Linked DNA regions of Mus musculus: region 1 is reported to be linked to region 2. The links are microRNA targets in miRTarBase. Many come from high-throughput screens and were not tested one by one. Region 2 holds a microRNA gene; the other region holds the end of a gene's coding sequence.
What was found. The annotated mature microRNA mmu-miR-339-5p reads UCCCUGUCCUCCAGGAGCUCACG and lies in region 2 at 2,760-2,782, opposite strand. An mRNA with a match to its seed (bases 2 to 7 or 8) in the 3' UTR can be bound and repressed. Matches are read on the target gene's strand: a 7mer-m8 pairs with bases 2 to 8, a 7mer-A1 pairs with bases 2 to 7 and ends in A, and an 8mer does both.

Region 1 (3,000 bases), not on the chromosome of region 2:
TATAGAAGTATTCAGCAATGTTCATTCAGAAATATTGGCGGGAGAAACCAAAGGATCAAGTGGAACAGATCAAAAAAAGAATATCCAAATTGAATTGCAGTCATCTCTTGATGTGCAAAACAGTTTATTAGAAGATAAGACTTATTTAATTGATTGTGAAGCGAGCGCTCCTATTGATAGAGTATGCTCTGAAGGAGAGAGCAGCAATTCAGCAGAACAGGATGCGTATAGCGACTTTCAGGCTGACCAAAATCAGTTACAAATGTCCCATCAGTGTAGTCATTTTAATGTTCTCACGCACCAGACGTTTCTGGGGACACCATATGCCCTTTCATCAACTCGGTCTCAAGAAAATGAAAATTACTTTTTATCTGCTTACAAAAACTCGGGTACAGAGAAATCTCCATTAAGTTAAGGATGTGTTCAAGGAGAAATTACAGTGATTAAAAAAAATAGGTTGTGGTGGACTTTGTATTGATGATTTATAAACAAGTTTCTTGGCCTTTCTGAATTTTTTTTCCTTTCCTGTTTATTTAAATCATGATGGCCTATATAACATTGAAGCATCTGAAAATTTGAAATAATTTTTTGACATATTGTAATCAGATTATCTCATGTTAGCACCTTTCAGTTTTACATTTGTTACCTGTACTTGGGCTTCAAATTGAAGTCTGTTTTATATGTAAAATTTCATGTTTATAAAAGAATGGTAAATAGTAATGACGTTCTTTAATGTCAGATGATAACTAATTTTGCTGAAATGTCAACTATTTATTTTGATTAAAGCTTTTGTATAGTGTTTTTACACAGGTATAAGCCAGCAGTGTAAATATTTATAGGATTTTGGCTTAGTACCTCAAGCTATATTTAACAGTACAGTTGAATTCTAGGTAGTGAATCTATTGTATAGAATACCAAGTAGAATTTTCTCAGTCTTTAGGTTTAGCTGTGAAAACATTTGCTTCATTTAAATTTTGGTTAACTTTTTGAGATCTCTTTGATAAATAATATTTTGTGTGATCCTTTAGTTAAATGAACTTTTAAAAGTGGAGCTTCTGCTTTCAATACTATTGGAGAATTTGGAACAGATCTTGAAGTTTTAATTCGAACTTGGTGTTACACTAAATGTGGAGATAAATTTTTAAACCCTCATCTCTTGCCTACTGTTACTAATGTTAACTTCAAAGTGTGAAAACTAGAATCTCCACTTAATATGATGAAAACCAAATTTACAGAAGAGAAAAACCAGAGTGAAATGAATTTGTATTATTAAGAGTCTATCCTTGTGTTAATAGTACTTTTTATGCCCTAAAAGAACTTTTAATAGAACAAATGAGCAATGCTGTTAGCAGGTCAGGAATCTCCAGATTCTACCCTGGTAAGTAGAAAGTACTTTTATACCCTAACATGACAAGAGATTTTTTTTTTTGAACTATAAACTTTTTTATTGTACTTAGAAAATACATCATTTCACTACATAATGTAAAGTTTGTCATTGTGTGCTTGAAAAATGCTGTTGCGTGGTAAGCATATTTAAAACGAAGAACTAAAATTATCTTCTTGGTTTGCAGTTAAGGGTATGAGATTCGTTTCCAACTCCTTTTGTTTCTGGAGAAGACCCTGCAATCACATTGATATTTTAGTGAAGGTATATAACCAACTTAAATATTTTTTTCTCTTTCAAAAATACATGATACAAAATATCATTGAACTCTCAGGATAGAATTGTTATTAGACATAGCTTAAGTTTCTTTTTTTTTTTTTAAGTAATTCTTGTAATTTGGGTGTTGTCTAGCTAGAACATTTTCTACTATGAGAACAACAGGGATAGTTTTTGTTTGTTTGTTTTTCTTTTCTTTTTTTTGTTTTTTGTTTTTTGTTTACCACTATTGGATTTCTAAAGTGAAATCTACTCTCAAGTGCTCTAAGATCATGAGAAGACACAGTCAGAGTCTTACCATTCCCAGTATTGCTCTCAGCTCTGCTGAACAGCACGAATAAGGGTGAGGTGAAGCACGAACATCCCAGTCCTTCCTTCTCTTGCTCCTTTGTTCACCCAGGTTGAGTCCTGAGCTCAAGCTAGCTATATGTAAGCTCTTAAAGGACACAGGTAAATGGTGTCTGAGCAGAGGGTAAGCACCACACAGGCCAAATACAGTGTAATAGCCTCAGGATAGGTTTCAGCACATTAGCAGGGTTTATTTTTGCCTGTGTAAAAGGTAGTAAAAATGTATAATTTCATTCTTTGAACAGATATATTCTGTTCTTAACTTTAAAAAATGGACCATATTGGTTAAAATTCATTAAAGCATAATTGTATATTTGTTTCTTGGTTTTAGCACTTTATTGTGTTTTGATGTTTTAAATGTACTTTTTTGTTTGTTTGGTTGGTTTTTGAGACAGGGTTTCTCTGTGTAGCCCTGGCTGTCCTGGAACTCACTTTGTAGATCAGGCTGGCCTCGAACTCAGAAATCCACCTGCCTCTGCCTCCCAAGTGCTGGGATTAAAGGTGTGCGCCACCACCGCCTGGCATATGTACATATTTTTAAATAAAAGTTGTCTTAATATGCAAACTGTCTCGGGACTTTGATTCTCAGAACTACTATATGCAGCCTGGACTAGGATCCTCCTGCTTCCCAAATGTTGATTATGCAGGTGAAAATGGTAATTTGAGAGCAAATTCAAGGAAAAAGGTTCTTTTGATTTCTGTTCAAGGTTAATATATAGGAATTGAAAACATAACTGTTATAAACTGGGGTGCAAACACTGCCACCATATAAAGAGAACAAACATCTAAAAACAGTTACTTGGTGAAGAGTGCATACCTGTCTTAGTTCTGAAAGCCCCTTAAGGATAGCTTGCTGTCGGTCCCTGTTTTTCACTAATTTAGGATTAAGAAGTGGATCCCTGATATGGTCAGAGTCAAATAGCTCTTGTTCTCGGGCACAATCTGAAGGATAGATAAATTTTACAATAGTCAAATAAATTACTTAGGACTTA
Region 2 (4,481 bases):
GGTACCCTCTGATGTCAGAAGTGGGTGTCAGGTCCCCTGAAACTGGAGTTATTGGAGAACGGGATGGTTTGGTCACATGGGTACTGGTGTTGAGACTGGATCCTCTGGAAGAGGGACAAGTGCTCTAAACTGAGACCCCCATCTTTCCAGCCCCCTGGTTTTCAAAGAGGAACTTGGTACGTGGCCCAGGCTGGCACTTCTCCTGTCTCTGTAGCCTCTGGAGTCCCGGGATTAGAGCTGCCCTCTTTTCCAGCTCTTTTTTAAAAGAGAGGTAGGGTGTGGCACACACATGCTGGGTGGAGATGGCTCGGTGGGTTAGAGCACTTGTTGCTCTTACAGAGGACCTGGGTTTGGTTCTCAGCACCCACATGGTAGCTCTCAATCATTTGTAATTGTAGCTCCAGAGGGCCCAAAGTCCTCTTCTGAACTCTGGGTACATATGTAATGCTCATTCAGGCATGCATATAAAACATGCACACTGGCCTGAGCGAATGCTGCACCCACGGAGGGTCCTTGTATGGATGGTGGGCTCAGCTCTTTGCTGTCCCTACCAAAGCCAAGGAAGGCTGACACTTTGGGGCCAGTGCAGCATCAGCAGTCTCCCAAATGGCACACCCTGAGGGTTCCTCCACCCACATCTCCATCACCACTCATGGTTTGCACTGATCCAGGGCTGGCGGAGCAGGCAGCCTCTGTCCCATGCTAACAGGCAAGGCTTGCTGGGTGACTCTGGAGATTGAGAAGAAAACTGGACCATCTCCCAACAGCCTTGGTAGCTAAATTCAAGACTGCCTGGTGTCCATGACAGGGCACAGCCTGTGTGTGTGTGTGTGTGTGTAGGTTAGCTGGTAAGCTGACCTGGAATTATAAAGCCCAGGCTAGCTAGCGTCCCCTTAGGGGCAATCTTGCCTCAGGCTCCCTGAGTTCTGGATGTTGAGAAGAGTCCTGGCCAGGCATTCTGAGCCACACTGGTAAGGGGAGTCTGGCCTGCTTGTGCCTGTTGCTGGTGAGGAGGCTTAACTCTACCATCTGTAAGCAGGGGCATCCTGGTGAGTGGGTGTTTTCTGCCAGCTCAAAGACTCCAGGCGGCACTTTCTCCCTTGCCCTCACCAGGCTGTGTGTAAACCCAGGACCAACCTTGAACCAGGGCAACTGCGTGGGCCTGCTTCTCTTGTTTGTTCCCCAGGTTTAATCAGGAAGCCCTGGTTGAACCTTACTGTTTTTGAAGCCTCAGGCGCTGAGGAGGCACACAAAGGTGGGTGCTGCAGCAAACCGCAGCTTCAAGCACCCCACCACTGCCCCTCCCTTGGGTCCCATGGGGGTAAAAGAGGCCTTCTGTGTAGGAGGAAGGGCAAGGGCCCACTGTCCTTCCCCAATGAAGTTCACAGGGCAGAGAGATGTTCTCCTTCTCCACACAGCTAGAAGGAGCTGCTGGCCCTGGCCAGGGCATCACCTGTGCTGGGGCAGTATGACTGGGGATATTCTCTTAATAGGGATTTGTGCTGTCCTGGGGAGGCAGTCAATGCCCAGCGTTTTTGAGCATCCACTGGGCTCAAAAACATCTTGTTCAAACGTTCTTGGAATTGTGGAGGAGGTTGGTGAATATGTCCTGAGGATTGAAAGTCCAAGGCTAGCTTGAGCTTAGCAAGTCTGTCTCAAACATAAACAAAAACCCCTCAAAGGTTAGTTGTAGACCTTGGCAGTAGAGGCCCTGGTAGCCAGTGCCAGACACACAGCTCTGTAGGACCTTCTTTCTTGGAATGACTGAGTCAGGTGTAAGGATGAACACAGGTGAGGGTAGAAGGACCCTCTGTTGTCCCCACCCCATCATGTGACCAGAGCAGCTGTACTGGGGGCGCAGCTGAGTGGCAGGGAATCCAGTCATTTGACCCGCTTCACACAGGACAGAGTCCCAAGGGCACAGCAGATGGTCGATGGAGCCCAGCACCTGGCCTGTCTATCACATACCCAGGTGGTGCCTCCAAGGCTGGGGCATGGTCTCTGGTCCCTACCACCCCTATACCTGTTCCCCAGACATTGGGAATGGCCTACAAGTGACAGCGATGTTTGTGGGGGGAGACCACGAAGCCTGCTGAGGCTGACGAGCTGGGTGCCAAGGCCAGTGGACTCTGTTCTCATTCCCCAGCCCAGAATCAGCCCTCCTCCATTCAGTTGGAGCCAGCCCGAGTCCAGGGTCCCACAGAGGTGTTCGACCTTGAGAGCCCATTCCGGTTCACAGACCTCAGCAGACTGCTGCCCGGCTATGCACTCACTCGGTAGCAAGATTTCCAGAAGACAAAGCAAAAGCACAACAACATAATGAAGAGAGGGGAGAGAGTTTGTTTTAAAGGAAGCTTTTTATTTGGAGGTAATTACTGAAACACAGTGGATGTAGAAGTGACCCAGGGACACCAACTGCCAGGACATAGGTCACACGCAGTAGAATCAACTGGTGCTACAGAGGACACACACAGAGGGAGAGACCTGGAAGGCTCCCTCCTGGCTCCTCTCCCCTCCCCCTCAGTGTCTGCGTAGGTTAAGATGATTAGGACCCCAGAGGGGTCAGTGCCTTGCGTCACCGCACAGAGAAACCAGAGTCCCCTCCATCCACGGAACAACCTGCAGATCTGCACAATCGAGTTCAAGAAGGTACAGCATGAACAGCCAGCGACTGAGCACCCTGGTCTGCAGGCAAGGGTCTGTGGACAGTGCAGGGGTGGACACCGGCTCTGTCGCCGAGGCGCTCACAGGCAGGCATACGTGAGCTCCTGGAGGACAGGGATAGTGGCCACCCCGTCCAGCTCTGCACAGCTGTGCTCTCACCACCTTGGTGCCAAGGCAAGGGTCACACCCACCTAGGGATCCCCTTCTAGATATGACTTTTCAAATGCACAAAATGTCACTTAAGCCCCATGCTTGAAAAAGACAAAGATGACAGATGCGGCACCCTGCCTCCTCAGTGACCTGAATGGCGGAAGTGAGCAGCAGATCTGATGTATCCCTGAGAAACAGGAGACTGGGCCATCACCAGCTGCCACAGGACACACGAATCCCCAGAGGTGATGTTGTCACCGCCACCAAGCCCAGGCTCTGTCCAGGCCACAGGTCCTTCTGCAGTCACGGCAGAAACACCCTGTGTCACTTACTTGGGGGTTAAACACAGGCTAAAGCCTAAGTCTTGACCTCAGGCTGCCCAGAGAATTAACTTTCTCACAGACTCCAGCACAGACCACAAGGCCTCTAGGCTGTGAGTCCCCGACTATACATCGGTTTTCTTGGCTCTCTGGCCTCAGCTCACCTGACTCAGGCTGACTGGCCCCACCAACAAGGTTATGAAGGTCCCATGGGTTTTCTAGGTCTAACCTCTCCCACTGCTATCTCACATGTCCCCAGTTCCAACACAGGAGCAGACAGACCCCAGGAGCTTGAACAGGGTGCAGATTTCCTTGACTAGGCTGAGGGGCTGGCTCCAGAAGATAAAACTTCCGTCCCTTTGCCTGCAGATCACAGGAACTGGTCCCAGCAGCTCTGGCACAAGTTTAAGTGGGAAGCCCAACTCGGCCATCAGTGAAGCTCCTGGTCCAAGAGCAAGGACAGAGTCAGCCCCTGCCACCTGAATCACGGGCGTGAGGGCGACACACACAACAAGCTCCCACCTAGGTCTACTCAGAAATGGCAGAAAGCAGCCAACAGGCAGGGAAGAGGGCCCTGCAGCGGGGGAGATGGGGAGGTCTCTAATCAGACCCCTGCAGTAGGAGACCCTGAAGTGAAGGAGAGGGAGGGGCTTGCATCTATAACTGAGCATTCCCAGGCCAGGAAAAGCCTGCTGACACAAGAACCTGTGTACTGTGCAGAGCCTGCGCTGCGTCCCTGAGCCGAGCGAGACTCAGTCTCATTTCAGCTGCAGTCTGCCTCCTTCGCCCTAGCTGGAGGCCTTCTTTCTAGCCAGGGCCAGGTACCCACATCCCCTTCTCTAGAGCTTCCCGGCATGCCCACCACCCAGGGATGCTTGTTCTAGCCTGGTTTCCACGTGCCCCACTCCCAATTCTATTTGAGTGTGCCGGTAATCAAAATGCTTTTGATTTTGGCTTCCTCTGGTAGAGCAGCTGTGTTCACACATCCCAAACTGCCTAGTGGACCCCCAAGTGACATTAAGGTCATGGAAGCTTTCTTGCTGTGGCCAAGGAAAGGCCATTTCTCCTGCTACAACGGGCCCAGCAACCACCCTGCAAGCAAGGTCAGATGTCTCTGCTCACCTGGGTAAGTGACTCCCTAGCAATCCAAAACTCCCCACCCCCCTTTTTTTAAAACAGCAGAAATGTGAAGACAGCTCTGAGCCAACGAGGGCAGAGATGACCAGAACAAACACTGGGGCACAAACAACACTCGCAGGATCCTCTATAGTTCCTACTTTTTGTGCTGATCTTGCTATTATAATGCAGAGCGGATTTCTAAAGCTTGAAAAGCCCACTAAGCAAAGT

Region 1: miRTarBase lists Tasor as a target of mmu-miR-339-5p. Seed matches in the 3' UTR shown: 7mer-A1 at 1,822-1,828 and 7mer-m8 at 2,399-2,405.

The regions. Positions count from the first base shown.
Region 1 is chr14:27,480,983-27,483,982 of GRCm38, forward strand. It overlaps Tasor (transcription activation suppressor), which reads left to right. Exons shown (of 24, transcript NM_001114879.2): 24 at 1-2,573. The coding sequence ends at 415. It overlaps Ccdc66 (coiled-coil domain containing 66), which reads right to left. Exons shown (of 18, transcript NM_177111.3): 17 at 2,826-2,950; 18 at 1,419-1,620. The coding sequence ends at 1,534. Among named protein-coding and RNA genes, the nearest start is that of Ccdc66, 26 kb to the right of the region's middle.
Region 2 is chr5:139,366,949-139,371,429 of GRCm38, forward strand. Mir339 (microRNA 339) reads right to left here and starts at 2,797; the gene lies at 2,702-2,797. The region is part of intron 2 of 3110082I17Rik (RIKEN cDNA 3110082I17 gene); the gene reads right to left.